Oreochromis niloticus: one gene and its partner. The protein of the gene in region 1 purifies or fractionates together with the protein of each later gene. This does not show direct contact. Links are inferred from orthologs where the notes say so. Each region holds a gene or a part of one and is shown in the gene's direction. Other genes may lie near its edges.

The links.
Region 2: the proteins of constitutive coactivator of PPAR-gamma-like protein 1 homolog (region 1) and rbm45 purify together in Homo sapiens (co-immunoprecipitation; 3 studies listed by BioGRID and IntAct, with this or other methods). This does not show direct contact. The link is inferred for Oreochromis niloticus from reciprocal best matches to the Homo sapiens genes FAM120A and RBM45.

The regions. Positions count from the first base shown.
Region 1 is NC_031970.2:37,136,523-37,152,899, forward strand, and holds the start of constitutive coactivator of PPAR-gamma-like protein 1 homolog, read left to right. Parts: upstream 1-10,101; 5' UTR 10,102-10,515; coding exon 10,516-10,989; intron 10,990-12,211; coding exon 12,212-12,458; intron 12,459-12,542; coding exon 12,543-12,625; intron 12,626-14,576; coding exon 14,577-14,705; intron 14,706-16,126; coding exon 16,127-16,217; intron 16,218-16,377. Other genes in the region: cass4 (cas scaffolding protein family member 4), read left to right, coding at 129-536, 1,193-1,276, 1,373-1,471, 2,274-3,548, 3,645-3,725, 3,863-4,273. UniProt on the Homo sapiens protein: Component of the oxidative stress-induced survival signaling. May regulate the activation of SRC family protein kinases. May act as a scaffolding protein enabling SRC family protein kinases to phosphorylate and activate PI3-kinase.
Region 2 is NC_031978.2:5,576,145-5,591,721, reverse strand, and holds rbm45 (RNA-binding protein 45), read left to right. Parts: upstream 1-8,459; 5' UTR 8,460-8,525; coding exon 8,526-8,801; intron 8,802-9,165; coding exon 9,166-9,288; intron 9,289-9,705; coding exon 9,706-9,832; intron 9,833-10,005; coding exon 10,006-10,137; intron 10,138-10,247; coding exon 10,248-10,418; intron 10,419-10,936; coding exon 10,937-11,066; intron 11,067-12,599; coding exon 12,600-12,690; intron 12,691-12,987; coding exon 12,988-13,145; intron 13,146-13,448; coding exon 13,449-13,524; intron 13,525-13,620; coding exon 13,621-13,737; 3' UTR 13,738-13,760; intron 13,761-14,016; exon of another isoform or gene 14,017-14,253; 3' UTR 14,254-15,504; downstream 15,505-15,577. Other genes in the region: cytochrome c, read right to left, coding at 3,357-3,502, 4,993-5,167, 5,271-5,291. UniProt on the Homo sapiens protein: RNA-binding protein with binding specificity for poly(C). May play an important role in neural development.

The DNA.
Region 1 (16,377 bases):
AGTTCTACTCACATTTTGCAAGAGGAAATACCATTATACGTGACCACAGCCTATTTCCTGTGTGGTAGTACCACATGCAACCTTCTAACCCTTATTTCATTTGTCTCTCTTTTTTTGTTGTTGTTTAGAACCAATTAGCAAAGGCTCTGTATGACAACACAGCAGAGTGTCCAGATGAACTGGCCTTTAGAAAGGGCGACATCCTCACGGTGATAAATCCAAACGTGGCTGGAACCAGCGGGTGGTGGATGTGCTCTCTGTATGGACGACATGGCCTGGCACCTGCAAACAGACTAAAGCTCTTACCGCAGATCGTGACACCAGCAGTGCATGAAATGCCCAGGTTAACTCATGGTAAAACTGATGACAGCGTGCAAAATATCTACCAGACACCCAGCATCCCCAGAACCACCACCAGTCCTGCTTATGAACGCATGGACATGATCTACAAGGTCCCCTCTGCTCACTTATTGGCTTCAAAAGGTCCAGAAGCACCAGGATTTATGCCCAGCACAGCAGGAGCCGAAGCAAACAAGGTACAAGTAGTTTTTTTTCTATATTTAGAAAATAATTTTTTTGTAGTTTTTGGAAAGGAGCTCGTTGTAGCTGATAGCCAGTCTGTTTGTCCAAGGTCAAAGTCATTCATGCTTCTTAGGAAGTGTTAATGCTCATGATTAGAGAGGTAGAAATGTTGCAGAAATGAAACCCCTGCTGACAAAAGAGCTTGCAGATGGAGACCAGGGGCCTCTCCATGGGGACAGGCATGCAGCACTGGGGTCTTTATGGGCCTGTAAAAGCCAAACAGACACAGACTTCAGACACTTTTAACTGCAAACAGCAGCCCATGCTGACAGGGACCCCAGAAAAACAGAAGTGTCTGTACGGCTGCTTCTGCAGCAGAAGGAGGGGGGATATATTCCCGCATGTTCACCATTTCCTCTCCTGCTCCAGGGAAGTCCTGTTTCTCTCTACAGTAGCTACTTAATTGTCATTGAACAGCATGGTTTTCATTACAGAGCTGCATTAATTGGCAAGGTGTATGAATAATAGCACTTTCAACAGGCTTCAGAGCAAACACTGTCCCCATAAACGTGTTAACGCATGTGTCAGTGGGGGAAAAGTGGCTTTGATCAAAGCAGAGCAAATGCTGCCAGTCAACTCCAGTATTACAGCCTGACTGTTTTGTCTGCAGCGTTCATCCTTCAGTACAGCATCCAGTCCAAATGGGAAGGTGTACGATGTGCCGAACCAACCAAAAAGAGCTTCCCTTTACAATGTAAGAATGTATCAAAGTCAAGATAACTTTAGATGATACTATTTGAGTGGGCTTTGGTCCGACAGCTTCATTTTCTTTTTATTGTGCTATTCGCAGAATACAACGCCTCCTACACCAATGCCACGAAAGCAAGTTCTGGAGAAGGGCCTTAACTCTCCTGAAACTTTAAGGTGTAGCAGTCCAGAAGACTCTTATGTAAGTTTCAGATGTTTTAGAGGATTCATTTCTACAGAAGAGGATTAGCGCCACTGAGAAAAAAAGTGGGCACGTCTTTTTTTTCTTTTCCAGAATTCTGAAAAAAAAAGGTCAGGATTCTGAGATTAAAGTCAGAATTCTGGAAAAGGGGACAAAAGACGTGCCCACTTTGTTTTTCCAGTGGCCCTAATCCTCTTCCGTAAATTTCTCTACCAAGTCATTCATTTCTTAATATCTTTCAACGGTTGATATGGTTTAGATTTGGTTGATTTCCATCCTTTTTATAAAATTTTTACCTGTTTGGAACATGAAGCCTTTTACCAAAAAAAACCAGACGTAAACATGTATGAAGATTTCTTTTGAAATCTAACATTTTGTAACATTGGCATTTGGCCAAAACAAAACTAGCATGGCAGATGTTAAGAGGTTAATGAAGCAAGGATTGGTGCCTTTTATAAATGTGGTCTGTTAGTATTTTTAAATATAGAAAATCAGTCAAGACATCAAAATTAACCTGCCTGTTAGTCTTTTGTCTAACAAAATACTGCTGATTATTAGGGTAAGGACATAGATCTGACTTATGGCACTGGGATGTTAGCAGCAGATCTTTTGGGGTCGATGAAGTGCTAATTTGGGCCTTTATGAGTCAGGTTTGTTCCTGCACATCCAGAAGATGCTTCATTGGATTGGGTTTGGGAACCAAAAGTCCCAGGGCACTAACTCAACTGTCAGGTTTCACGCAAAACAGATGTAGGACTTGTAGAATCACTTAAGTGTTGAACAACTTTGTTCTTGTTCACAGGTGTATCCAGGCCCACCACCCCCTTCTCAGGACCCAAATTATGACATCCCCATTCCATCAGCCACAGAATCCCGAATCAAAATGATAGATGGATACAACACCCTTCCCAGCCCTCGCAAACCTGAGTGGATCTATGATGTGCCAGTGGGACCTGAGAAACAAAGTCATGGCATCTCTGATAACTTGTCCTGCAAATCAGTTTCCAGGCAGATGTATGACACTCTTCCAGCACATCGAAAAGAAAGTCCACCTATACTGCTTTATGATATACCCAAACCAAAATCTCCTGATATCCAAATTACACCAAACGTTTACAACAAACTGCCATCCCTGAAGCCTACAGAAGAGTCTGTATATGTGGTTCCAGCCAAGGAAGAACTCCTCATCCAAGGTGTCACCGATCAGCCCAATGATCAAAAACCCCTAGAATGCAGGGGTAACTCAAGCAATGATTTTGAACTCCAAAGAGTGCGTCTGCAGCGGATGAGGAACTTTCTGGTCTGTACAACCTTTCACGGCATTCAAGAAAGTGGGGAAACTGCATTGCGTGAAGATGAGCAAGGTCGAAACCAACATCTGCCTGCAGCAGATAATCAAAGAATCAGCACAGCCTCCAGCTCTTCCAACAGCTCCTGTGACTCTCTGGCCCTGAGCTCCTCTTCCCCTGAGCTTCTGCGAGAAGTAACACTCAGTCAGGATGAGGCGTGCCGCAAACTGCTGGACTTGCAGGAGTCTGTTTGTGAAGCTGTGCCCAAACTCATGGACTTTGTCAGCAGTCATTGGAGGTGTAAGGGACATCTGGAGAAACATCTCAAGGAGATCAAAGAAGCAGCCGAGTTGATTGTATGTTCTCTGACATGCTTCCTAAACTTTGCCCTAGATGTTAAAGGAAATGCTCGTCGTTTGACTGATGCCAACCTGCAGACCAGGCTCTGTAAACAGCTCTCCATCGTAGAGGATTCAGGTGTGATTTTACAACAAACAGTGAGTAATCTGAATGCAGCCAAATGGCCTCTAAACAAGCTCAGTCAGGAACCGGGGAAGGTCCAGACACCTGACCAATTGGAGCGCTTTGTTATGGTGGCAAGAACTATTCCAGACGATATAAAGCGCCTAGTATCTATCATCAACGCCAACGGCAAGCTTCTGTTCCGAACGCCTCAGCGAGATCAAGAGTCTGTAAACACCACGGATCCTCCAGAAAAAAAATGTCCTGACAAAACCAAACAAGAAGGGGACTTAGCTGAGGATGACAATGATTACGTAGAGCTGCAGGTATCAACTTCTGTTCCTCTGTCATAATATGACTTTTTAGCCACAAGAAACCCATGCTGCATACTTATTAATATGTTGCCTTTGAATTTTCCTCAGACTAAGGAAGACGAAAACAAACAGCGGGAAGTGCAGAAGGAACCTAAAGAGAATGTCACACCAACAACAGAGACGACGAAGGTATGTCTCCTCATTAACTGACACAGTCCTGTACAACAGACTTTTTTAATTTATAAGAGGATTTCTGGTCTGAAGCAGACAAACCAGTCTAGAAGGCACGGCCATGTTTACCTTTATTCTGTTTCTCCCCTGCTCAGGCCAAGCAACACTCCTCCAACTCTGGCAGTGGCACCGAAGAAAAGGAATTATCTTCCATGTCAGAGCACTGTAGACTTTACTTTGGTGCTCTCCAAAAGGCCATTGGTGGATTTGTGGGAAGCCTTCAGGATGACCAGCCACCAGAGAAATTCATCTCACAAAGTAAGCTGGTGATTATGGTGGGCCAGAGACTGGTAGACACTTTGTACAGGGAAGCCCATCGTAAAGGGTCTAACCAAAGTCTCCTGTGTAAGAGCAACCACCTGTGCGCTCTCCTGAAGCAGCTAGCTGTGGCTACCAAGAAGGCGGCACTGCACTTTCCTGATAGGCAAGCTCTTCATGAAGCTCAAGAGTTCGCAACGCAGCTGGCCCAGAGAGCACAGCACTTTCGGCTATCGCTTGATCTCTGAGAGTGAGCCTACAGTATCAAGCATACAGATCTGTGTGAAGAAGAAGGTTTTATTCATCAGTCATGTAGCTATTTCTTTTATTAATCATTCTTATAGTGTACAACTTCTGAGCCTAACTATGCTGTTGCTTTAGCTGATGAATGCAGGTTGCTGTTTAAATATTAACAACTGCAGAAAAAAGCCGGCGGCACAGGTTATTTCAAAAAGGTATTGCATTTGTACTAAAAGGCAGTATCAATATAAATTGCACATTCAAGATGCTGTAATTAAGCCAATGTTATAATGCATTTTAAGTACAGAGTATAAAGTATTTTTTCTATATTTACGGGAAATGTATATTCTTTGCCTTTTGTTGCTTATCTGTTTTGTCTTGTTTGTTTATTTTACTATATTGTGTATGGAATATATTCCTCAGAGTAGCATGTTGTTACAGTCTACTTTTTGTTAATATCTATGTAAATATTTCAAAAAACAATTGTTATGCATTCCCAAAATTTACTTGACAAAAGACTGAGTACAACATATGTTGAAGTTCTGTTGATATTGAAATAAAAACACAGACACACACAACTGAAAACCTTATTTTTCTGCTTTTTTAATATGTTATAGAAAATAGATTTTAAAAATAGATTTAAAAAAGGGACTGGAAATGAGAACATTACAGCCCTACAAACTGTTCCGCTAGTTATCTAGTTCTTGGTATTGAAATGATGCTTTTGCATGAGATCAGAAGGGAAGATTTGTATTCTCTTTCTACCTGTTTGCCTGGATGTTCTTTTCAGTACTTCTGGGTTTTTTTCACTCGCTTTCTCTAAGCTAGTCAGCTTCTGTTCTCTCTGTTTTAAATTTCGGTGGTATTCTGTCATTCAGTCTGCAGAAATTCATGCAGGGCCAAGCACGCAACAAAACACTCTGGGGGGATTTACCGACCATGCATTAGCCCTTTAAAGCATGAAATAAATGTCAGAAAGGTTAATGGTATACAGTTAGTATAAAGGTGAAATTAAATGCATGAATATCATTTATATGTGATACATATCATCAGCTTAAATTCAAATTCAAATATAACTCTAACCATGAGCACCACAGCCACTGAGCACAAGCCCACCACAGTTCTTTACTGAAAATGTACGCAGTACGGAAAGCTAACCTGTTACTCCTTCACGAAACTGCCGAGCGTTTTCATGCAACTGCTGAGTAAGGCCTCAGTTTGTTTTTTGCAGGACAGTTCACAGTATGAAAAACAACTTCACATCATATACAGATCTGTTATCTGATTTATAACAGCAGGACGTTACACGTAAGCTTGAAATTTCCACTTTATCAAATGTCACTGAGCAGTCCTTCCCTTACCAAATCTAACCTCTCTTCTTCCTCTCCCATCCTGTCTTTCTTATTTTTCTCCATCTCTGAGTGAAGATCTGGCACCTCTGAACGAGGTTCCAGATCCACTTTAATCCTCAGAATGGTGTCATAAATCATTTTGATGTTTGAAGACTTGCAGTGATGGCAAATAAAAACTTCCCTCTAATGTGTTAAACCTAAAGTAACACACTTGTTTTGAAAATGTGAGGAGTAGAAAGTAAAGACGTTTGTTTAAAAATGTAGTGAGTGAAGTAAAAAGTTTAGAAATGAATAAATACTTAACTAAAGTACAGATAATTCTGAAAATTCTACCTAAGTACAGTAACAAAGTATTTGTACTTTATTACTTCCCCCCCTCTGTGAATGTGTTACACAATCCTCCTAAAAGTATCATCCCAGCTCAAAATCAGACCCTGCAACGCTCAGAGAAACTGCAACAAACTCAAAATCAGCTACACTGACATTAAAACGTAATTTTTCCCACTTCCTGATTTCTTAGTTACTTTGTTTGTTTTTTGCATATTTGTCACACTTAAGTGTTTCATATCATCAACCAAATTTTACTATTAGACAAAGATAACCTGAGCAAATAAAAATTCAGTTTTTAAATTATTTCATTTATTAAGGGAAAAAGCCACCCAGACATACCTGGCCTCATGTTAAAGGTTAAAGTTAGATAAAGACACATATGGGTTGTTTAGAAGGGTTGCCAGGAGAAAGTGCGCCAGGACAACTCGACTCGTCGCACACAAATGCCCAAAAGCCAGTAAATTATTATTTCCTATATGTTATACAGCCATTTTTCGTTAACACTAATAGAATTAGATTGTGGGTACAAGTGATGGAAATTAGCTTTCTCTGAATCATGGCTCTCCCTTAGTAATAGGGTGAGGAGGTCAATCATTTGGGAGCGACTCAGGGTAGAGCTGCTTCTCCTCCACATCGACAGGAGCCGTCTGAGGCTGTCACCTCCTGGATAAGTTTCTTTGGCATGTCCGAGGACATTTCCTCGGACATGCCAAAGAGCTTGCATCTGTCGGATGGCCTGGGAACCACTTGATGTTTTTCCGGATAAGCTGGAGGAGGTGGGAAGAGGGAGCTGTGGGCTTCCCTGCTTTGCCTGCTGCCCCCGTGACCTGACTTCAGATAAGATAAGGAAAATGACTGGATGATGTATGTTTTGTTATTTTAAATTCAAACTTTTATTGAAGTGGTTATCATGAATTTTAGAACAGCATGGATCATCTATAATTCACGTTAAGTAGTAAGTAAAGTTTTTTTATGTAGTGCTTTTCACAGACATAACAGTCACAAACAAGTCAAACACAATATCAAAGAATATCAGCAGGAGGCCCAATTAAACAGAACAGTTTAGTTGTTTCTATAAGAAAAAAGACTAAGAGGCTACAAGAAAATATAAAACCATATAAACTTGTTAATTAGACATGAGTATTTACCAGACAAGCAAAGTCCCAAAAAATCCGACTGGCTGCATTTTAGGATAAGTCGAAGCCGGTGTCCAGGAGTTTAACCCACACTGGAGATTAAACATCAGGATATTTCAGTCTCTGCTGCTTCAATACTGGACCTTATTTTAAAAATCTATTTTGAGTTTCTTTTCCTTCCATTTGTGTTATAGTGAAATACGACCATTAATGGCGTAATTGTTATATTTCTGTCACTGAAGCGTAAAAACATTTTTACACCCTGAAGTGATTGTTAGACGTCCGAGTCATTACATAACAGGAACTGGGTTTGGGATGCGTATACTGTCTTGCCTAACTGTGGACTGTGCACAGTAGTTAACCTTTTACCACCCACTCTTCTGCTTGGGTACAGCATTTTGAACTTACCCTTTAAAACCGCTGGTAGTATATAATGTTGTGTAAGAACACAAAACAGTGATTTATCAATATTTAGGTACCGACATTTGTTTAGATTTGTACTTTATGAACAAAATTAGAAGTTCCTCTGACCATCTAGATCAACCAATGATGTCCTGGTGGAGTGGAAGGGTGCAAACTTTAACCTTTTCAATCTAAAGATATTCCAGTATTGCTTATCTCATTTGATCTTATCTTAAATTCACATTGTTTATATCATTGCTTGGTGTTGGTTTCTTCTTTTTCTTGTAGTTTAGACAGGTTCACACATCACTATGAGTTCTTCAGGGTAAACAGTATTTACAACCTTCATTATTTTAACCAGAGCCTCGAAACACTCTCGAAAGTTGTTCCTTTTCTGGCTTCCTCTTCGGACAGTTATTTCAGTTTTTTCAGTCAGGACTTTCTATGGCTTTCCATTTAGAGGTGCATGCTTCTGTCTTACAACATCGTCACTCCTTTATTTGCTTCATCTGAAGGTAAATGAATTTGCTCATAGAGAGCAGATTGTGGTTGTGCAGATTGTATGCAATTGATAAACAGGTACAGGGCTATTGGTTCAGAATGACTGATTTATTAACATATTCATGGTGGTAAGAACAATATAGGCCAAATCAAAGAGTAATTTTGCATTCACACTTTGGTTTTTTGTGCAGTTTAGGAACATTGCCAAGCACATATTAGTAAATGCAGTCCATAGTTCCTGAAGTCCTGTTGTTTTCTCCCAGCAGCCCTTCCAAACAAGCCTCTTGGAGCCATTAGAGGAACTGCAGTTTTTGGTACTTTGACACTGGCTTCAGTTTCAGCCCCAAGGTTTGCTAATGGGGCGTATATCAGTCACAACACAAGTTTCAGTTTTAATATATTGTTGTATGGTTTGAATTTTACTACCAATTCATATTCTTAAGACACACTGAAGACTTAGTTTGGCAAACTTAGTTTGCCGTCCAGGATACTGTAAGTCGAGCGATTGTAGTTTACATTGTGAGATTTTAAAGGACCACGTGAAAAGCTACAAAGGGTTACATAACAACTTCATAGTTTTTAGACTTGTGATATGCAGAAAAGACAAAAGTCTCAGCCAAACACAGAAAAGACTAGGCCTGGAATCAGTGGGGTCAATATCAAAAAGTGCTGAACAAAAAGGAAAAGTATTTATGTTCACTCTATTATAAAACTTACAACATATAATATAAAAGAATACCAGGATTACAAACCTCTTAACATCCACCAGGTCGCTGGAAACCCAGGGGTTGAGTTTGGTTAACCACCTCTTTCTACAGTATTTGCACCTGTCTTTAATGTAATGTGTAGATTCTAAAAAATGCCCGTTTAACATGTGGCTAAAGCAGAGCCACATGTTAACCAGTTAACTTTGTGACCTCTAGGGTCTAGGATTATGGCCACCTAGACCCTAACCCTAACCTGTTGCTGGTCACCTAGTTACATGGTTAAGAGGCTAATGGGGGAGGGGGCTCACAAATGTTTCCAGATCTGTCGTAGATAAATTAGTATTATTTACTTGGAAATGCAAGTGAAATTCTCATACGTGTTTATGACAAAAAAGAGTGTACTAACCACCGAAAGACTCACACGTGCAGTTACTGATTGGATGCCGCCCTCTGTTGACACTGAATGGAAATGACTTTATTCCCATATTTTTGGCTGCTTATTCACTCTTAACCAAGCTGATATGTTGTGAACATCTGTATTTATACATTTCCGAATCATTAAAACATCTAGAAAGATAAGGAGAAATCCAAGGTTAACTGTTAAGTTAAACCAAGTAGTTCACAAGGCTTAGAACCTGTTGTATCATTCATAAACACATTAATTAATGCATTGTTACAACAAGCTGGTGAGACGGTGGTGGGCTTGTCGATAATGAGCTTTGAATATTCAAATAGCTGTCATTTCTAGATCGGTTGTTCGATTACTTCTAACACGTTTCCATGTAGCAGATGGAAAACTACCACACTGCTATTAAGAACACTATTTTTGCACATTGTACAGAGACTCAACTTTGCACCCTCGCTCACCCCCTCCCTCCACAAATCAGGAAGGAACGCTTTCGCACCCAAAGAGTGAAACTTGCCAAGATAGTTCACATCCAACCTTTGCCAGCGAGTTCTCGAGGCTAGCTTCTGTCCCATTAGCTTTTGCAGCTCAACACCTTAACTCAACACATTTCATAAGTAGGTTTTAGAAATGTGAAATTTTGTTAAGGCCATACAGTGATTCCCAATCTCACTGCTTCTAGCTTTTAACCTTACCATAGCATCTCTACCCTAAAGTCACAAGATAATGAAACAGACAAACTGCAGCCTGTGGCAACAGCCACAGAGTCATGAAATAAAATAGCCATCAATATATTTGGATTGATATCACATCTTTTTTGTTTTTTTAAATAAAACAGAACTACCTTCCACATCCATATTTTTCACTTCTTGCCCAAATCTGATCACAAAACTCCAGTGCTAACGGTAGTTATGTTTTATATATAGTCTCTGTATAAAAGGTCTTTAATTTTCTGATTCTTTTATTTAAAAAAAAAAAAAATTCAGGCAAACAATAACAACAATAATAACAAACAAACAGCGAAGCACCGACAGTGTACTCTCTTGCTTCTCTCGTGGGCCTCTCGAGCCTACGTGCCTGTGCGTCATGTCGTCACGTGCTTTCCCTCTCGCTGTCCTCCGGTACAGGCTAAGGATCGCAGTCATGGCTTCGTGAAGCGACACATGGCATCTTGAAGCCATGAACCAAATTAATAAACACAACAAACATCAACAACTACTCACCGGAAAGCGGACACATTTAAATAGCAGGCGTGTTTGATTTCATTCGTAATTACAGCAACTCCGGTAATATCTGCAGCTAGCAGTCAGTCACACTGGGGGAGAGGCACACTGCAACCTCCCCCGGTTTATTTTCCTATGATACTCAGTTTTCTTTACCGTCACTTTTAAGTTTCTTTTCTAAGAGAAGCTCGACATGGGTGTGCAAGGTTTCCTGGAGTATATTGAGAAGCACTGTCCCAACGCGGTGGTGCCGGTGGACCTCCAGAGGTTGGCCCGGGGGAGTTTGGTTGGAGGTGGCCGGCAGAGACCCCCTCAGAGTCCGCTGAGGTTGCTGGTGGACGCCGAGAACTGCCTCCATCGGCTCTACGGGGGCTTCTACACCGACTGGGTCTGCGGGGGCCAGTGGAACCACATGCTGGGCTACTTGGCCGCCCTCTCCCAGGCCTGCTTCAACGGGAACATTGAGCTCCTGGTGTGCTTCAATGGCGCCCTGGAGAAAGGCCGTCTTCACGAGTGGGTCAAGCGGCAGGTGAACGAGAGGCAGACCGCTCAGCAGATCATCAGCCACGTCCAGAATAAAGGCACCCCACCGCCCAAAGTCTGGTTCCTGCCTCCCGTGTGTATGGCCCACTGCATCCGACTTGCTCTCCTCAAGTTCCGCGTCGGGGTGAGTGGAAACTCGGCCCGGCAGTGCCTGCCTGTTGAGCTGTGGACACAGCCCGGCTCTGAGTTAGCCTGCTAGCTGCCCACCATGTCACCACGGGCATCCTGACCCACGATGCGATGCTGTTCCCACATTTAGACAAGTTCTAACCTGCTGTGTGAGGGTGAGCAACTGCCGTGGTTGACTAGTATCCAACAGGTTGCTGGTCTGAGTCCCAGTTCAGATCCTCTGTCAGCGATCACTGTTTGTCCTCCCAACTGACAGAAATAAACAGAGTGAACAAAAAGATGTCCAGACAGGTTTGGCATAAACTGAACAAGTCCCTGTTTCACTGGAAGAACATAACTTCATGGCTGAGGTTTAAATAATCTTAAAACAAACAAACAAAACTACCAATTGTGAAGATGCATTCTGCGCAGTTAGAAGAGCAATGAGCTGATGAGATAAAGTAGATGAGGAAGTTCTGACATTGTCTCTGCCTCCACCTCAGCAGTGCTGTAATTCCCACCACACAGCTGCTCGATTTGTTGGAATCTGGTAAATTAATTTAGTACGCCACAACTTCACACTTACATTTAAGACTTGCAGCGTGAGTTCTTTTTAACACACACACCAAAAACAGTTTATTTTTTTGTCATCAGTTTTCTGGCTCTTCAGAGCAATGATAGCTTATTTAGTCATTGCACTAAGTAATGTGTTGACAATCTGGCTAAACTGTTCACATATTTGTACTAATCCTAATAAAGATGTCATACACAGGATCTTTCTTTTAGTAGCCCGTTCTAGCGTGACCACAAAGCAGACAGCAAAGTGAACGTGAAAGTGTTGTGGTTACAGTGATTCTGCTGTAACAGTGAATACAGACAGAAGTCTCCAGTCCTACTGGTACATGTTTATTATAAGTGGAATAAGGCTGTAACATGACAAAAAGTAATCAAGTTGTGTTTTGTATTGCAATTTGTAATTTTCAGTCTGCCCACGGGATGATAACAGTGAAATAATAAAAACTAACTAAGAATAAGTAACTCCAGTGTGAAAACATATACGGGACAGGAACAGACTTATGAGCAAGGCTCACTCCCCAAGCAGCTCACACAAATGTGCACGTGCTCCTCGATTGTAGTTTTCTTCCTGTGCATGTTCTTTGAGTGCTTTAGCACACTGGTGTCTGTAAAGGGGTTTGTTTTGAGGCGTTAGCTCAGTTCTTGTCTGTGGCTCTCCTCAGGTTGTCCAGAGTGTGGAGGACCACCACCTGGAAGTGATAGCCTTATGCAGGAAGAGTGGCTTCCATGGTCTGGTGGCTTACGACTCGGATTACGCCCTGAGCAATATCCCATACTACTTCAACGCCCACATCCTCAAACTGAGCCGCAACGGCAAAAACCTCACCACCAGCCAGTACCTGATGCACGAAGTGGCACGGCAGCTCGATCTCAGCCCCAATCGTTTTGTCATTTTTGCATCGCTTTTAGGTTAGTGTTGTAGTTTGAGCGAGTAATGTTGGTGGAAGCGTTTGCCCCGGTGAGGCTGACTGATACGCGTTTTCTTTTTAACAGGGAATCACTTACTGCCTGATGAAGACTTGGCTGCCTTTCACTGGAGCTTACTTGGTCCAGAGCATCCCTTGGCATCTTTGAAGGTAAGGACTTTCTCTGAGAGCTGCGAGATTTGTCGGCCTTGTGCTTAAATATTACCGTTACTGGTTATTTGTTTGCTCGTGCAGTGCACGTCCTTGACTGATGGGAAGGAAAAGTGCACATATTTTGCATTGAAAGATATGGTAGTAAGCGCCAGCGACGCCTAGATTGAAGTAGCTACCAGCAACAGCGCCGGATATCGTTGATTGACATATGACCTGGTAGAAAATAGAGGGGTTACCTAGGCAACTGCACCCTGGAATGTCTGCAGGTGACCAGCTGTCAGCTTCTGTGACCAAATTTTAATCACCAGTTATTAGTTAGACGCGAGTACTGATAAAGACTATGTGACATCACCCATTTGAGCGCACCCCCACTTCAGACCAGTAGATGTGTTTGCATGGACTTGTGTCCTGGTTATAATAAGGTTTTTGAAGTATGTAGTTGTTTTGTTAGCACATGTAAACATGATCATATTATTTAAAATCAAACTTTAATCGTTCTTTTTTGGTTTTATTAAACCTGGATTTGGTAATGGGACTCCAGGTCCAGTCTCCCGCCCAGTAAGTTGGCTCTCAGATTGTTGTACATACACTGAGCTTTGAAACTTTGGTTATGTTTAATGGTAAATGAACTAAAACTTCTACTACAAGTCTCATTCACCCAGTCACACACGCATTCATACAATGTTTTTATCTAGCACTTACACTCACACCAGGGGCAATTCTGGGTTCAGTATCTTGCCCAAGGAAGGTTTAACACATGGACTGGAGGAGCCAGGGATTGATCAACCCGCTCTGTCACCTGAGCCACAGCCACGCGCCTTGTTTAACATCACTGCTGTCATAAGGAAAAGCACACTAGGCTCCCTTTTATGATGCTATCCTGGTATTAGTACCAGCAAGTTTCAGCAGCTGCACTCAGGTAATAATTATAGGTACATCTACCTATTTGTTTGTGTTTCTTGACATATCACACCTGCCTAAACTAACATCACACAGTAACCAGGATACTAGTATTTATTATGTACACAGGACATGCAGAACCTGAACATCTGTTTTCCGTGTAAACAGCGTTTCGCATATATGATCCAGGATAAACCTCATAATCTGCATACCCGGGTCCATGAAAGTCACAGGAACCACAGTGCTGTGTAGAAATATCCAGAGCATTCCACAGTCACATTCAAAACAGGCATGTGCTTAATGAGTTTTATATCTGTTCTGTCACCAAGCTTGTTGTATTGATTCTGATGGTGCCTGTATGACTGTCCAGATCCCACAGAGTGTTTCAGAGCCATGTTTTGCAGGATTGGAAATCAGTCCATGCACAGTTTGACACGGACAAAGCCTCTTTGCTCCAAATAACAGTCTGACTTCTCTTTCATATAGTAATGAAGCTGTCAAAATGCTCTCAAGTTGACAGCACAAGATTCAGATTCTGTTTGTGGTGCTGCGGTTGAGCAAGTTCACGTGGACGTGTATGCATGTGCACATGATTAAAGATAAAAATACAGTTTCTAAGTTCTCCCCTTCGCCCGTTATATTGACACATAAATGTAACCAGCCTCACTTTCATTAATTCCAACTTAAGTGAGTTCACTGTAGTGGCACCAGAGAGTCTAATGAATAAAGTTCACTTGACGCTGTTACGCTGAAATGATGCACAACATAAAGCACAATCTAAGCTTTTTGTACACAAGTGTTACAGTAGTCAACATTTCAGTTTGATGTTGACATATTGCAGACACATCTGGACATGTTCACAAACCAGCAAACACTGCTGAGCCTGAATCCTTCTCAGAAATACATTACTTACAGAGGAAGAATACACTTTTACTTTTGACTTAAAGCCCCAGTTGATCATTTGTGCTTTTGATTCTTAACCTTCCCTCTTATGCATTGAAGGGTTATATAAGTTTTGGCTGCGTTCAGGACAATCTCTCTTTCACAGGTGCGTGCCCATCAGCTCGTGCTTCCTCCCTGTGATGTTGTAATCAAGGCCGTGGCCGACTATGTCCGCAGCATCCCCGACATCACTGACCTGGAGACCATCGGCAAGGACATCTTCAAGAATTCACAGGTATGAACTTTCCAAAAGCACTTTGAACAAAGTTTGAATGTTTTGCTCCACCCTGTCATCCCCTCTACCCTTGGTAATGCAAACAGTGAGATATTTACAAATTCATATGATAAATAATTTAGCTTTACAGTAAGTGGTTGGACCAGCTAAAACAGTATGCATGACACTGTATTTTACTTATTTTCACCTCAGAGCTACAGTTCTATTACTCACCTTTTCTGAAAATCTTGTGAATGCAATAACGTAGGATTTTGAAATTCATACCGTAGGTGTATCTGCTTGGAAGCTGATCGGTAGCACTGGCAGTCTCCATTATTTCATATGTTTAAAATTTGTCCTCATGTAGTTCGCCCTCCTCATACACAGTCAGTGCCCGGTGGGAAAAGAAATGATATAGATGAGATAAATGAGCAGTTCTCCTAGTGCAGTCACGTTAACCTCCGATTTAAAACCGCCAGTCAGAAATATCATTCTTCTGTTTTCTATTGATTGATGATGGATCAGTGAAACTGCTCCACAAACACTAATTTGAAAGCATGTGGGACTGAACCTGTGTTTATCAAGTTTTGCTTATATGTGGTTATGAAACATGACACTCTAGGGAAACAGATTCCATTTATTATGAAGCTCCAAATGATGACATTTAATCCCATCAGTGAGCTAAAAATCCCTTTGATTTTCAGGCAGTCACAGTCGATTCCTGATCATCCTTTAATAAATCCAGTTCACATCATGTTAAAGTGTGATTCTTTGTGACTTTGAATTGACTGAGCAAGAAAAAACAGCCGTGAATGGGTCATGGACCTAGAGCCAGCTAAAAAGATCATGTTACAGTCTCAGGAGGGCTTGTTTTGAGTTGTAGTCCTGTTGACTGAAGATGCAGAACTTCCGTGCTCTAAATAAAATCAGTTGATCTGCCAGATGTGCAGTTAGACTGCATGTGCGTGCCTCCTTTAGCATACACTACACCACAAACAATAGAAAGCTTTGGGAAAATTGATTATGAAACAGGTTCTTACAGGTGGTCTCTCTTAGTTATGGCTTCAGTTTGGTATTAAATCTAGTTGTATGGCCAGTTTCTCTCTGCTGACTCCTTTATTTTGGCGACACAGACAGATAAGTGATCAGAGTCAGATCTGAGCTGTGGCGGTGATAAATATGTAGTCGCAGAGGATCCAGCGGACTGCTCGGAAAATGGGAAGATGATGATGTGGTCTGGTCAGGTTATTGAGCGTGCAGTGATTGATTCCATTTGAGTTAAGCTATGTATATTATTTTTACTGCATGTTTTAGTAGAAAGTGGTCAAAATCAGGTGCACCAGGATAAGAGGAATAAAGAATTTGCTTGTTTGAAAGTGAATTTGGAGATTTTTTTTATTTTAGACAAAGAAATACTCTGCTCTCTCATTTGTTTCTTTTAGTCTTGCACTGATGACAAAATCTTCCGCTTCAAGAAGGCAGTGGACTACTACTCAGTGGCCAACCAGCCCCAACATTTACCTCTACAGTTGGGTGGGTTTTCGCCTCATCTCACCATACTGAAAATTTTGGAGTTTGGGTCAGCAGCACTGATCTGTCGAGACGCAGTGCTGAAATTCAACACTTTAATATATCATTTATGATATTAAACTGCAGAGTTTCTGCTTTAACTTGAGTTTACATCAGAATTGTG
Region 2 (15,577 bases), on another chromosome or scaffold:
TCAATTACTCTAAAAGTTGCACAGAAATATTTGCAGAGGCACAACAGCACATATCTTGTAAAAGAATGTTTCTCAACACTAAATATGAAGTGAAACTACAAACAGAAGAAGAGGGGCGTGTCTCAATATGGTTTAGAAGAAAATCCAGCCAATCATTTAAAGTGGAGAGCATCTAAAGAGCAGTGGAGTATATCTGGAATGGCTCAAAGGCTAAACGGTTGGTGTATTTTCATTGACCAGTTTAAAAACTGTTGTTGAATTTCTTGCTAATAAACTTATAACAACTAGAGAAAAAAAAATTACTTAAGACTGCTTCTCTCCTACTGACGTCAGTATTAGACCCCATTCCTGTATTTCATCTATCTTAACCATCTCACTGTACTATATTATTCCAATGGAGCACATTGCTCTCAGACTGTGGGCTTACTTCGTGCTTCCTAGAGTTTCCAAAAGCAAGAATCTTCAGTTCTTCTGTGGAACCAGATTCCTTAGGTTTCCTTTTGATAAAATTTATAGTTACAGCTGAATTAAGTGACTCTGACCACCGATTAGATAGGCTGCTGGAGGACTTGCCATCATGTACTACGCACTTCTTCTCTACTCCCCATGTCTTTATGTGCTAGTACTGCATGTTATTCACTCTGCCTCACAGTTTGCATTGTGTTCTTGTCTATCTGTGTCTCATTTTTTGTATTTTCTTCCCCCTCGGCCCCCAACTAGTTGTGAAGATGGCTGCTCCCTCCCTAAGCCTGGTTCTGCCAGAGGTTTCTTCCTAATAAAAAATTGTTTTTCCTTCCCACCATGGCGAGTGCTGCTCGTAAAGGATTGTCTCATTATCTAACATTGCAGGATCTTTACATTACAACACAAAGAACCTTGAGGTGGCTGCAGTGGCGTTATGTTGGTGCCATGGAAACAGAATTTAAGTGAGTTCTGGTGCTTCCCCTGGTGGGCCCTGTAAAATATAATACAACCTCAAAGTATATTGATGATGAATTCTATTTTATTTAGCTACATACTATTCTATTATTAAGGCTGTTTCTTTTACAGTCTGTTATGCATTGTGGTTTGTTTTGGGGGGTTTTGCTAGCTCCTTTAGGAGCCCACTTATTTCTTAGAACAACTTATTTTCTTTGTTTTTTGATATGATTGTTTTTCATATTTGTGGATAAAATAAAAAACACTTTTTGAACAGTACACATGTCCCTGTTAGTCCTTTGCCTACTCTGCCCCTCACACATCACTGCTCCCTTACAATGAGTTTTTTTTATCAGCATGACTGTCCTGAATTGATGATGAATTAGTGTCTTTTTATCACTTTTGTGCTTTTCATTTATTTGTTTTTTAAAGATGTGTAAGTTTATTGTGACATTAAATTGAACCTATCAGCCTCTCAGAGGCTTGGTCTTTTCTGCCTTACCTTATTTCCATCTGAGGTTCAGAACATTATGCCCCTCTATCTTTCAACAATGAACAATGAAGTATCATAAAAGGCATTTTATGATACACCAGCAGGTGTCTCCAAATCCTCATCAACCTGTCCTGGGTGTCCCAGCTTCTCTTTCAAAACCAACATAGTTTATGGAGAGGTGTAAGGCGGGCAAAGAAAATGGCTCTTCTAATTAGATTTTCCATGAACTAGATCCTTAAATAATGTAATGAGTTTACAACCTAAGAGTTCAAACACAAAATTTACTCAGCCTTCTGTCTCCAGGCAGCATACAGACACACTGTTTGAAGACAAATCCAGTCATGTCTCTGCTCTTAATTGATCTTTGATCCAGAGGTAAAGCAAGGCCTGGGCTGCCATCAGCTGACTGTCTTTCTAGAATGACTTCATGAGCAGTAAACTGACACCTTACCGGCACGAGCGGCCCTCTGGGTATGACTGAGAGTTCAACTCTCTTTAAAGAGACACGGAGTGCACACAAAAAGTTACTTTAAGTGGATATATTCATACCTAATCTGCTGTCTATTTTTTTTTTTAGACAGGAAACAAGACTCCAAATAGTGTTATTACAGTAGCAAATGTACCTTACTACACTGATAATACAAAATTTACACATATTTGCTCACCACGGCGTCTTTAACTCACTTTCAGATAAACTGAACACAAAAATGTCAAATCCACATTTAGGGTCACGCTTGGCTTCATATTTGTTTAACAAATCAGCTGAGAGGCGACTGTGAAATTAGTCTGGTCTTATCTTTAATAAAAATTACTGGTTTGATAAGACCAGTGATGTTTATTGCCTTTACTCTGGAGGGAATTTTAAAAGAGCAGAACATGACCCGGCTGCAGGGACAAGCTGTCAGCTCCTGCAAACACCATGAAATGAAGAGTCGTTTTCACATGTCTGGACGTTTTCTTTTAATTGATCCTTAACCATCTTGTCTGTAACAACATACACCTACCACATTACAGTCAAACACTGATTACAGTAAAAGAAATTAAACCAACTCTGTCCTGCCTGTGAAACCAGGTAAATAACATCTTCCTTCAGTCCAGATGGTGCCCGTAATAGTTTCCCTACATTATAAAGTCACTCCACAATATTAGCTCGTGATGCTTGTATGCCAGCTGGTTTCACACTGTACCTCAGCATGGTGGTGGCTTTCAAGGTATCAATGTAATATTTATACAATCCCACAATTCTTGGCTGTAAGGAGACAGATAAATACATCACCTTTAGCAAGAAATCTTTAAAAAACTTCTAAGGAGCCTGATGACAGGCAGGGGGTAAAAACAGGAGCTTGGAGGAGCAGTTTCGGGAGTGTTAACAACAGCGGTATTTCCCAAATTCAGTCCACAACAAACTAAGAGCATTCACAGCAGGTGGAAGTCTTTAATCACATTTGTGCAAAGGTCAGACACTCACAACTTGAATATGAATGCTGAGGGCAGATTCAAAATCAGCACCAGTTTACCACCAAAACTCCACACAGGCTTCATCGCCCTTTCACTTTCATGTAGCTGATATTAGATGAATTTTATTATTCATTGTTATGAATATAAAGTATATGGTGATAACTCTGTTAGCAGAAAGTACCAGACACATGTTGTCATGGAAAAGAATGAGAGACGAGCCATCCTCCCCAGAGCTTTTTTAAATAATGTGATTAGTATGTACTCGTACAGACTCAATGAAAACAGGACTGTGATTTTATGTTTGTTCACTTGAACAGCTGCTCAAAACTCATCTGACCTTAACAGGAAGTGAAACTTACAGCAAACACCAGTCTGAGAATATACATTAACCTTCTGTTCAAATGAAGAAACATAAAATCATATTTAATGTGTATTGGCAGAGAAAAACATTAAAATTACATTAAATATTGTGATCTCAGTGATCTTTTCATGATGTTGCTGACTTGAGGTATGCAATGAGGTCTTGGCGCTCTCCCTTCTTTTTGATGCCAGCAAAGATCATTTTGGTTCCAGGAATGTACTTCTTGGGGTTCTCCAGGTACTCCATCAAGGTGTCCTCACTCCAAATGATACCTGAGGGAAAATGGTCATCGATGAGTCAAGTAGCAAGCGGGTGACATCAAGTATCAGCGACTATAGTTTCATGTGTGGCTTTAAAGAGGCCGCATTAATAAAAAGCATTTAGCTTGTATACAATCTTTTAAAAAAAGGAATTAAAGCTACCATTTATAAGTCTAGTTTAGACTCAAAACTAATTAACTGAGGTGAAAATAAATGTCACCTAACACCTCATACTCATTTGCCTTCTTCTGAATGAATCTCACTAGAGACTTGTTACAACTCTAAACAGTCTTGTAGCAATTGAACATTTTATTGTACAAACTGTTTGTGTACTCCAAAAGTATCTGATGGCTTGTCAGATGACATACTGCTTCACCACAAATACAGGATATTTGTTAGTGTCAGCAGCCTGCGATGTCAAAACAGTCACACTGAGACAATAGCGGAAATTTTAAAGATCTGTCCTTTTGTCCTTGAAAACACCCATAACCTTTAAGAGTACTTCTCTCAAGAGCTGACCGTTGCTAAGCTACAAGAACACGTCTTTATCGCATCTACCATTATCTTGACTGATATCACAGACCTGCCCCTTCTTGAGTTTGAAGTTGGGAGAGGAAAGTTACAGAAGGAAGGAAAAACGCCACACGAGGACAGTTTTACACAAAGGACTTTGAGCGTGTTGGCCCCCAGCTTCAGCAGGATTTATAGAGAAAACAAATGGTGAGGATGACACAGGGATCGTTAGGCCTGTGTGCACAGTGAAAGAGTGCCATGTGACCTTTTATGAAACCTAAAATGGCTTTGTCATTTGCAAAATGTGAAAGAAATGTTCAAGTAATCCAACACCATTATAGTCAATGTGCACTGCATAACATGACAACCTCAGCAGGTCGTTATGTTGTTTTGGATTTCCTTTTTCTCTTTTCTTTTTTCCCCCCCATCAGAGCATCCAAGGCAGTGGCAAGAAAGACATGGCACTCTTCCAAAAAGGGCGACAGGAGACCATTTTATTAACTTCACTTCAAGAGTGAGAAAAACCACCTGCAGGTACAAACTGTGTGTGATTTGAGCTGAAAACAAAAATGCATTCTGGGAACCTGCAAGACTTAAAATGTGAAAACGGAGGAGGATATGAGACTTTTAAAGCCTTACAAAAAAAAAAAAAAAAAAAAAAAGGGTGGGGGGGGGGAGTTTAACTACTTTTAATATAGATGCTTAAATGGGAAGCCTTTGCCTTTTTTAAAATTAAAAAAAAGGTTAAAAAAAGAAAAAATATTTTGCTTGTAAGCTACTGATACAATATATAAACATGAAACAGCCCTTTAAAGACTTCTGAATTTAAAAAAGAAAAAAGTTTGTGAACATAAACTACACACTTATTCAAGTGAGGCAATTTCCAGAAAAATTCCCAGATTTCAGACAATGCCAATCTCCCTTCTTTGGTGATCTACATCTAGCATACAAAGGTATTTATACTCTACTCAGAGACCCAGTGAACTGACCTTTGCTCTTGTTGGCGTCTGTATAAGTGAAGCCTTCTGCTTGTCCGGTCTTCCTTCCGAACAGACCCCAGAGGTTGGGGCCCACCTTATGCTTGCCACCCTGCTCTACCGTGTGGCACTGAGCACACTTCTGGACAAAAACCTTCTTTCCCTTTTCAGCGTCTCCCATAGTTGACTGGAGAAACAAAGGCAACAGGAAAAAGAATAGAATGAGATGAAAATGCAGTTTAAAAAGCAAAAGTAAAAGTATACAGAATTATGAAGGGCTCTTTAAATACATCAGACTGTCTTCTATTCATAGCCCAGTTAGGAAGCTCAAAGCTCTAATTTGACCCCAGCGCCATTTTGTGAAGGTCACTTAAGGAGACAACTCCATAACTTTGACCATCTCTTATCGCCGGCTCTAACTTTACAATGCATTCAGGTAAGTGATCGCATTGCCCTGTGCGCTGGCACGACGCCGAGATTACCCGGAAAGCTGACAGAAAAGCAGTGCAGGAAGCCGAAACTACACCGCCCTTAAAACACGTTGGGCTAGCCACGAAGGGCCTCAGCTCGAGTTACTCCAGGGGGGAAAGGTTGCCAGGTTTGGCGAGTAAAGGAAGACCTTTTTAATGATCTTGCGCCATGAGGCAGAAGGTTTACCGAGGGGAGTCAAGGTTAATGTGCTTAGCGGAAAACGTGCTGTAATTACTAAAGCACCTGTGGCAGAGATCCGGCCGGTGTTTCTGCCATAAAGTCGCTTCTACTTTAAAGATTAAAAATGATGGTCTATCATCACTGGGGGAAACATTTTAGTGCAACACCACTAACATGACCCCGGTCCCCAAAAATCCTCTACCGCCCCCTTTTTCATTAAAACTGCCTACAAATCTTACATATATTACACATCAACCATCATTATACGGTTAGTTTTTTGAGTTACATAATATAACGGCTAATTTTCTCATTCTAGTTCTTAAGAGACGAACCGCACTACATCGTATGCCATTTACAATAGACGCGTAGCCTCCAACATGGCGGCAGCCGGCTGAATGGCATCCTCCTCACGTAATATCAAGGACGTACACCATTTACCAACATGTATCAACATGTATTCGCGGTCTATGTGGCATTTTCGCCCGATTTTGACGTTTCGAATCGCTGACTCAAGCTCAACCTGAACTCAGCTTGGGTCAACCATCGTGCTAGTAGTACGACAAGCCGGGTATGGGTCGCCCACCGGGGCTGTCAAGGATGCTTCAATGTCGGCGTACGAAAATTGCACTTCAAAGCTGCTGTGTTGCCCAAATGTGTTCCCAAATCACACAAGAGCTCAAGTAAAATGGCTATAACGTTTAAATTACCTTATTATTCCCCCATAACGGACTACGCAATGAGAGCACAACCGGGCTATTCACCAACGTGGGCGCTAACTCCCGCTACATGCTACTGTTGCGGCTCATATCCTGTTACTTATAATAGAACCTCGATTCTCCTGTAAATAAATTTATAAAGTATGAAATTTTACCTTTGATGAGAAGATGTCGGGTTAAAAATACTCTGCTGTAGGTAAGTAACCGGCTCAGCCTCGGCCGACAAGCGGTTTGTGACGGTCGCAAAGAAGGTCACTTCACTTTAGAGGCACCGGCTTTCGACGTCATCACAGCCAATCATGTGCCGCGAGATTACCGCTTAACCATTACGTGTCGGTGTAGTATCATTTCTATAAACTGATGTAGCCTCATCCCTGTCATAGCTTTAATTTTATATAAAGAAGTCGTTTAATTTGTATGAAAAAAAAAATACAATTTAAACACAGAAAACACTCATATCGTGTCTATATGTAAGGTTTTACCAAGAACGCAGCAAGTTTTGTTATGTGTGTACACGCGAGGCGACGAGGCTGAGAGCAAGAAAACGAAAGGGAGTTTTAGTACAGGCCCCAAGAATCTTGTCGCATTCCCTCCAGAGCCATTATAGGGCAAAGGGAACCTGCTTTTCTGGAGAAGTTTCATGAATGATTTTGGCAACCGAAAGTACTCCGCGTTTAACTTGGTAACAAAAGATAGCCTTTTAATTTAACAAAACTGACACGTAATTTAATAAGTCACTCAATGAACGTATACTCTTAAGTACATGTAGTCTCCACAAACCAATTACCAATAGAAAACGTGTGCATAATGTTTACAAATTATTAAATAAAATAGATTGTCTTCTTTTTATGTCTTCTACTTATCTGTAGTTTCTTACATTGCCTTTTGCACTCTACATCCTTATCCCAAAATGAAGCCTCACTCGCAAAGTGAAATTTATGTGGCTAAATGATATTTATATTAAACATGAAAGACAGAAAATGAAAAAAATAAAATAAAAAGGTTAAGTGCTGAGCCTTGAGTGTTTTCTCAAGGTGACACTATGTGTCCCCAGGATAGTAGAAAAGACTTGTTTTACTAAACACAAAGACATATAGCGAGCATCATTCACAACATATGAAACGGGAATACTATTATGACAGAAAGCGGCTATAAAATCTAAACGTTTGTGCTCAGAAGGGTCATTCAGCACGTGACCTGTAAGCACCTAAAAATACACGAGCGCGCGCGCACACACACACATGCAAACTAGGATGCTTTCAAAATTAATAATCTACCCTTACAGCACATCATATTTTTAACAGCACGTGTTTTATTTAAAAATCATGGTCTGCCATTATAGATATAATCTTACAACTTTTCTGGTCGTCTGTCCCCAGCACGAATGTGACTAACTCTCTCATCTCTAACGAAGGGCTAGTTCCCTCTTATTTCTTTAAACAAACACACACAGAGGCAGACAGAACGAGAGCTCAGGTAACTATTTCACAGCTGATACCTGATGTTGTCTAAGAGTGTAATCCTGTGTCAGGTATTTATAGAACACGATTAATAGGATTAATAAGCCATCAGGTGTTCTGGTTTGGTGATAAGTCCCATTACTCATGTTAATTAACGTGTTAGTTACAAAACCTCTCTGCAGCATCTTTTCGTAAGACCAGGGTATTTTGTAACACCTGCATTTCTCCTTCCTGTGCTGCAGAGGGCAGTAAACGCAAATACGTGTCATCAGCTCCGCGGATGCCTTTAAGACTGTCGGAATTTCTACAATTAATTCACTAAAGTTCTCATTTGACAGCGAACAAAGCAATTCACTTTCTAAATATTTCAAGATTTAAAACAAAAGTACTAAAACAACATTTAATCTCCTGCCTTATAAGCATTCTCTATGCACGATTCAATCTCATTGCTTCTCTGATTCATAACTTTTTCTAAATATTTAAATTATCAAATGCTTGCAAATGACTACTACAAGCGCTAAGTCGTGAATTTTTAAAAGTCTCAATCTAAATAATGTTAATGAAGGAAATTACTTTTCCAAAAGTTTTTTTTTCAAACCACGTAAATAAACACGTAAATAACAAGAGCCGTTATAATTTACTTAACAAATGCCGTGGAGCACCTGAAGGCAGCACTAACAACTGCAAGCAACACTGCTGTGTTTACAGGGAAGCGAAGATGGAGGAGTATCCCTCCAAACAAGTGCCCGAAAACCTCGACGACCCTCCCAACAGCCGACTGTTCGTGGTGACGAGTCGGTCCATCACCGAAGATGAGTTGCGGGAAAGCTTCTACGTGTTTGGAGACATTCAGGGGGTCTGGGTTGTCAAAGACAAGCAGACAAAGGAGTCCAAAGGCATTGCCTACGTAAAGTTTGCCAAGTCTTCTCAGGCCTGCTTGGCCATGGAAGAAATGCATGGCAAAGTCCTGGTGGAAGGGACTAAACCTGTTAAGGTAATGTCAATGGTTAGGTCTCCAAAAAGATTATATTTTGTCAGCTTCAGTTCAGACTGTCGATTTATAATTTGCGTATAGCTAGCATGCTAAAGGGGCGTGATCGCTAGCTGCTTTCAGTTCACATAACCTCAATTATCTACAATCTCACTCTTATGTGCAAAATGCTGTTTAAATTTTAAATATTTGGAACTGAGAAGACAAAACATGGAATATTCATGGCTAGGGATAAATCTTATTCTTAACTTTACATAAGAAAAAATCATAGTTGCGATTCCTCTTCGAAAATATACAATTAACGTGTATCTTCCGCTATTATAATGCATCATTTGTGTCTCTTTGTTTGGAAATGTTGGCTCTTCAGGTGTTTATAGCCCAGTCACGGTCATCAACGAGACACAGAGATGTTGAGGATGAGGAGCTGACCAGGATTTTTGTCATGATCCCCAAATCCTTCTCAGAAGAGGACCTCAAAGAAACATTCAAAGTAATACTTCTTCTTTTATGGCTTCGCAGCTCTTTGCTTGCCTGTGTTTTTTATGTGTCTAACGGAAATTGCGTTGATTGTTTAATGTCAGTATTGTGTTTCCTTTATAAAAAATATTTGTGTGCTCACCCAAAGAGGTTTTGGCCATCTATCAAAGAACCTGCACCAGGACTGTGATTAAAGTATTTTGCTATAATCTAAATATATTTATATTTGTCTATCAAATGGCCTAAAAATAACAGGAACATACATAAACGTGTGTTAAGTAAGAACAAAAAATCATACTTTAACTATATACAGACCACTTATGCTTAGTGTATATAGTGTGTTCTTTTAGACCATCTTATTTCAGCCTCTCTAGAACTCGCTGACACTCCTAAATGCTCATTTAGATTCTTTCTGTTTTCTGTTTTGCAGGAGTATGGGGATATTGAGTATTGTGTGATTATCAAAAACAAGTTTACAGGAGAAAGTAAAGGCCTCGGCTACGTAAGATACTACAAACCCTCCCAAGCTGCCCTCGCCATAGAGAACTGCGACAAAGGTAGGTCTGCCAAACTCATTTACTTGTTCATTAATCCTGGTAGAAGCAGCAGTATGAACATCAAATGTACAGAGTGGTTGGTGAACGGTTACAGCTGTGGTGACTTCTCACTTCAGTTAACACTTAGTAAAGGGCATGTTTATGATTTAAAGCTGTGGAAATGGTGTTATTAGCCTACAGGGCCATCCTGGCTGAACCTCGAAGCAAATCAACAGCAACAGAAGATTACAGCTCTGGAGGAGCAGCAGCCAGAAATGATTATACTGGCGGCTCTGAATCCATGAACCAGTATGCGTTCTCATTGGGTACGAGTTTCTTTGTCATCAGAATTTACTACCACAGAAAGGAAAGGGTAAAGGTCTTAGTATTATCCTCTGTCTTGGTACTGACCCTGGTGTCCTTCTTCCCTGTTTAGGCGACCCTGGGAACTACACAGTCATAGATTACCGCCACGGTGATTTCACACGCTGTCTCATGGTGTCCACGCGGGTTGCACTCAATCAGGAGCAGATTTTTTCTCTGTTTGACATTATACCTGGCATGGAGTACTGCGAGCTGCAGAGGGATGCCTATGGAATGAACAAAGGTTAACAGTTCAATGTTATTTATATACCTCCAACATGTTACACCAGTCAGAATCTGTTGCAGTGAGGAGAAAAAAACCCTTTTAAAACGAACCATCTGCAGAATGAGGCTCAGGGACGGTAACTGTCCAACTTGACCTGTTGGGCCAAGGAATCACTAAACACTGAGCAGATTGTTGGGAACAGTAACCTCAAAGTAAACTCTTACAGAACTTAGAGCCACCAATGTTATGGGTTTAATCATCTACAAATGTGACAAGATTTTAATCATGAATGTTTTCTTAGTGTGACAGAGAGTGACTAAAGAGATTCTATTTTTGATTGCATGAGATGGCTAAAAGGAGCAAACCTTCACATTTGAAAAACTGGATGGAGCTGCTGATTATTTTACACACTACATCAGCTTTACTCTAGTTTGCAGTCTCTGTTCTCTGTGGATGTTGATGTGGTCCATTCTGTTTTGATGACTGTAAAATATTCCACTCAGACCTTTTCTTTGCTGTGTGTCACCTGCCTCCAGGCCATGCTTTGATTCGCTACAGCAATCTTGGGTCAGCACTTTATGCCCGAGAAAAGCTAAACGGCTTTGAATATCCACCTGGAAACAGACTGGCTGTAAATTTTGTTGACGACGGCGAGGACCGCGGCAGGTATACACACATAACTACACAACAGTATATGTTTAACTTTGAGCCTGCAAAAGGGTCACAAATTACTGGAGCCTCAGAGAAGAAACACCCTTTAAAGTTAATATATCCATAAATTAAAAAATAGGAATGAAAATGCCACTGATAATTAACTGTGACCTTGTCTGCACGCCTTCTTGGCCATGTTTTATTTGTTGTTAAATATTCACGGGTGAATGTTGTCCCCTGTGGGTTGCAGTGACCGGGCAGTGTTTTTTCAGAGTGCCGTGACTGCCTTTTTAAATTTTACGTGATCTCAAAGCTGTTAGCGATACACATTCACAATATTCATGAACTTCACACTCTCTCTAGTAAAAGACATCAGAAGAGCAGGCGGACGTTCTTGAGTTATACTTCTGTGTCAGATCTACGCCGTAACTTGTGCCATAACCAGAAGCCCATTTTAATCTTACGCCACAACATTTTACGTAACCAGACGTGCACCTCCCAAGAAAATGTAACTACGCGTCGGGTCAGCGCGTACTACAACGGCTTGAATGGTGTGGTTGCCGAAGCTTGCGGTGTAGGAATAAAAGGAGTTTCTGGTTAGTTAGGATGTAGATTTCACGCTGAAGTCTAAATCAAGCTTTAGTACAAGTTTTTAAAAAAGTTAGAACAGGGGTGTCAAACTCCAGGCCTCGAGGGCCGGTGTCCTGCAGGTTTTAGATATCACCCTGGGTCAACATACCTGAATCAAATGATTAGTTCATTACCAGGCTTCTGGGGCATTTCTCAATATGCGTACTTGTGCGTACTTGCGTTCTTGTGATACGTCATCAGTCGGAGACCAAGTACTGTTCCAATTCGAAGTACGCATCAAGCCGAGAACGCGAAAAAGTCCCGGATGTGTTCTCGCTCCGCCCGTTTTATCGAGCATGCATCGGTGTGGACTTGGTACAGCTAAATATCCCAGAATGCATTTCGTCCAAAACTCAACAGCGGACTCCCGGCACATCGTTTTCAACCCCCCCCGGATTTTAAATTTGGTGCTTGTGGACTATATAGTGACAGTGAACTGGGGCTGAGATGCTCAGCTGTCATCCCCCTGCTGTTTCTCAAAATGCTATGCCTCAGCGTCTCTGACTACGCGATGTAGGACCGGTGTCTCCTTTCCTGTTCAAGTTGGCTTGAATATGAAAATTACACATCAGTAGAATACAGTGCAATACAAGAAGAAGCACAAAAAGCCATCAGCGATTAAAGTAGCATGCACTACTACACAGTACACCGTGTTTTAAACACTCAGTGTCACTTCACTAAGAATAAGTTCTTTTGCACCTTCTGTCTTTAATGTCACAAACATGAAAAAGAGTAGCTCTCATAATAGTTGCTGCACAGATTTTTAACACTGCCCCCTTGTGATTTTATTTAGCTATGACATGTGGACGAAGCCCTACAAGCGAGAAGTGCACCTCTGTGCTGGGTGCTTGAGGTAGACTTAATTTTCCCTCCGTGTCCACAGCTGGAAACAGCCTGTATGTTTGCTGTTGTGTGCAGTCCTGTAGGTCGGATGGCCATGCAGTTTGTTGCAGCACAGATGATGTCAGCGGTCTGGAACGGACCATCCAGCAGCCAAGTGATGAAACCTGTGAGTCATTAATTCAACATCTGATTTACAAAATTGTGTCAGGTCATCGTCTTGTTACTCTGCACATTTTATTTACATTTCAGATGTTTTTTTTAACAATGACAATAAGAACATTTCTAAAAAAGCTATATTTTAATTCTTATTAGCTTATCTTTTAAAAATCTGTGCTCACATAAAGATTAAAAGTAGTTCAACAGACCAAACCTAGAATTTCCTTTTCTGAGGGATATGCAGTGTTTGAACAGTATGTGTCATTAAAATGACTGATCCTGTGTTCTCTGTCTTGGTATGTACCAGGGCTTCTCTGTTGTCTCATCAGTTTCTCGAATTCAGACCGACGCCAACCTGCCGTCACTGAAGAAGCTCGCTCCGCCTGACAGCAAAACCAAGGAGCGGCTGTTTGTCGTGTTCAGCCCCTCCCCGCTGCCCCCCGATGTGTTGGAGGATGTTTTTTGGTAAGTGCCCTGTGGTCTGACTCAATCACTACGTTTTCAGAAAATGCTGATGAGTTAAATACACATGCTGTCACAAAACAGTAAAAAAAAACTCAGTGCATTACCGGGACGGTTAAAGGTCTGCTTGATCACGACTCTTGGCTCAATCAGTGCAAACTGCTGTGGATGATAACATCAGGCTAAGTGCTCTTAAATAACAGAGTAAAGCTGCTATTAAACCAAACAGCCAGAATTAGAAAATGTTCCTGCTTTACAATTAAATGTTATTTGTTCGTCTGTGCCTCCCTGTGTCTGTCTGTCTAGTCGCTTTGGCTCCCTCATTGAAGTCCACTTGGTTCCAGGGAGAAAAGTTGGATACATGAAGTATGCAGATAAACAGGTAAAACTCAGATTGAGGATGAACTTGTAGGTTTAGTAATGAAGGAATAGAATTAAACTTCAAACTCTTCTTCATCTCTGTGTTCATCTCTGTCAGTGCGCAGACGAGGCCATGGCAGCGCTCCACGGACGCGTCGTTAACGGGGTAAAGATGAAGGTGATGCTGGCTGATCCTCCCAGAGAGGAATCTCATAAACGTCCTCGTACCTACTGAAGCCTACATGACACGAACCAATGGTAAGTGTGCAGTCTTCTGCTGCAGGCTCACCATTATGTGCAATTGGAAGTATTTTGGCAACAATATATGTACACTGTACACGTAATTCGTCTGTTTACATGTTTGTTTCAGAAAATATCAGACACACTGCTGACGAGAATAATTTCTTATATTCTTGATTAGGACTTCTGATTTATTTAATCCAACACCTCTGTGTGTGTGTGTGTGTGTGTGTGTGTGTGTGTGTGTGTGTGTGTGTGTGTGTTTGTGCTCTAGTGTCAGATGCTTCGGGTATATTTGTTGACTGACCACAAAGTAAAGACGCTCTTAACAAACGTTGACAAAAGAGCAAATATGAAGCATATAAACACAATAAGTACAAAAAGGGAAAGGATCAGTGACAGTGTGAGGTGATGGCTTGAAGTAATCTGGGAGTTCAAATTTCAGCAGCGTAGTGGGAAACAAGCGTAACTGTGAAGATGCACACTCTTGGCTCTCTACATCACCTGTCAGGGTCTGTTCAGGGACAAGAAAGGCTCAGTGTGTAGGCAGGCTAACCAACTACAAAGGACCAGTGCTACTTCATCAGTTCACAAGGAAGGAAGTGCTGCAGTGCTGTGATGTCTGATCCAACAGGTGGTATCATGGAGGCAGGTAGACGTGCAAAAAGAAAACGTTAGGAAGTGCTACACGTACAACAAAGTATTTATGAAATAAAACACTAGGAAACACCAACTTTCTGGATTTTTCCTGATCTATTAGCAATGTCACAGCATGTGTTGTACATAAGTGTCCTTGCAATACTACGTCTGGTCAGTAAAGCAAAAAAACACAGATCAGAGTGGGGTCTTCAAATTGTGTCGAAGGCTTTCAAAGCCTGATTATAAGCTAAAAGAATTCAAGGTAGTAAAAGAGTATTTATTAATCATTATAAAGTTATATCATTACACATAAAGCTTTGCACCCCTACTCCACTTCCATTGCAGGTTATTAGAGTTTAGAATATTTAACCTCAATGTTACTCACAGCGAAGGCCCTTTATGATTTATTTGCAACTTAAATAAACTGTGTGAGAGCTCCTTCACGTCACCCACCTGTGCACTCCTGTGAAGCTCTCTCCTCATGAGTCACGAAAGCGACACTAACAAGATGTCAACAAGTTTCTGATGACAGTCGTTTCTCTTCCTGTGAATAACACTGCAGCTTCTTGTTCCCCAGGCGACTGTTGCCATGACACAATGACACCTGACCTGACAGACCGATATCAAGACCTTCTCCCGACCTCTGACACGACCTTTGACACCTGTCTGACCTTACTCCCGGTCAGTGACCTTGCAGCGACTCACTGATAGGACGCTCCAGTGTTATAACACTAATAAACTGAAGTCTTAATCGTGAACAGTCTGTGAATAGCAGCATGTGTAGTTTGTGGTCAGTGTCATACTTTCGTGCTTTCTAAGTGCAAAATTTCAGCCTCGACACTGCTCTTTGATTTAACAGATTATTTAAGAAACGCTGACGTGAGAAGTCTCATGGCAGTGTGCAGCATTTTACTTTATGAAAAGCTGCAGGCAGGAGGCTGCAGTTTACTGATAAGCTGTGAAAAACAGGCTTTGGATGTGGACAGTTTGTAGTTCAGATCTGGTCCTCCTTATTTGTCTGATGGTATGCTCTGTAGCCTGTGCTGGGCTCAGTTAAAAGGTGGTTATTTGAATGACTGTGAACCTTTTTCTTTTTTTGTCAATAAAAATATAGTTGAACATATTCAGTCTGTCTCATCTCTTCTTTTAAAAATAATAAAAATAAATTATAAAAGCATCTCCTGTCCTTTCACCTG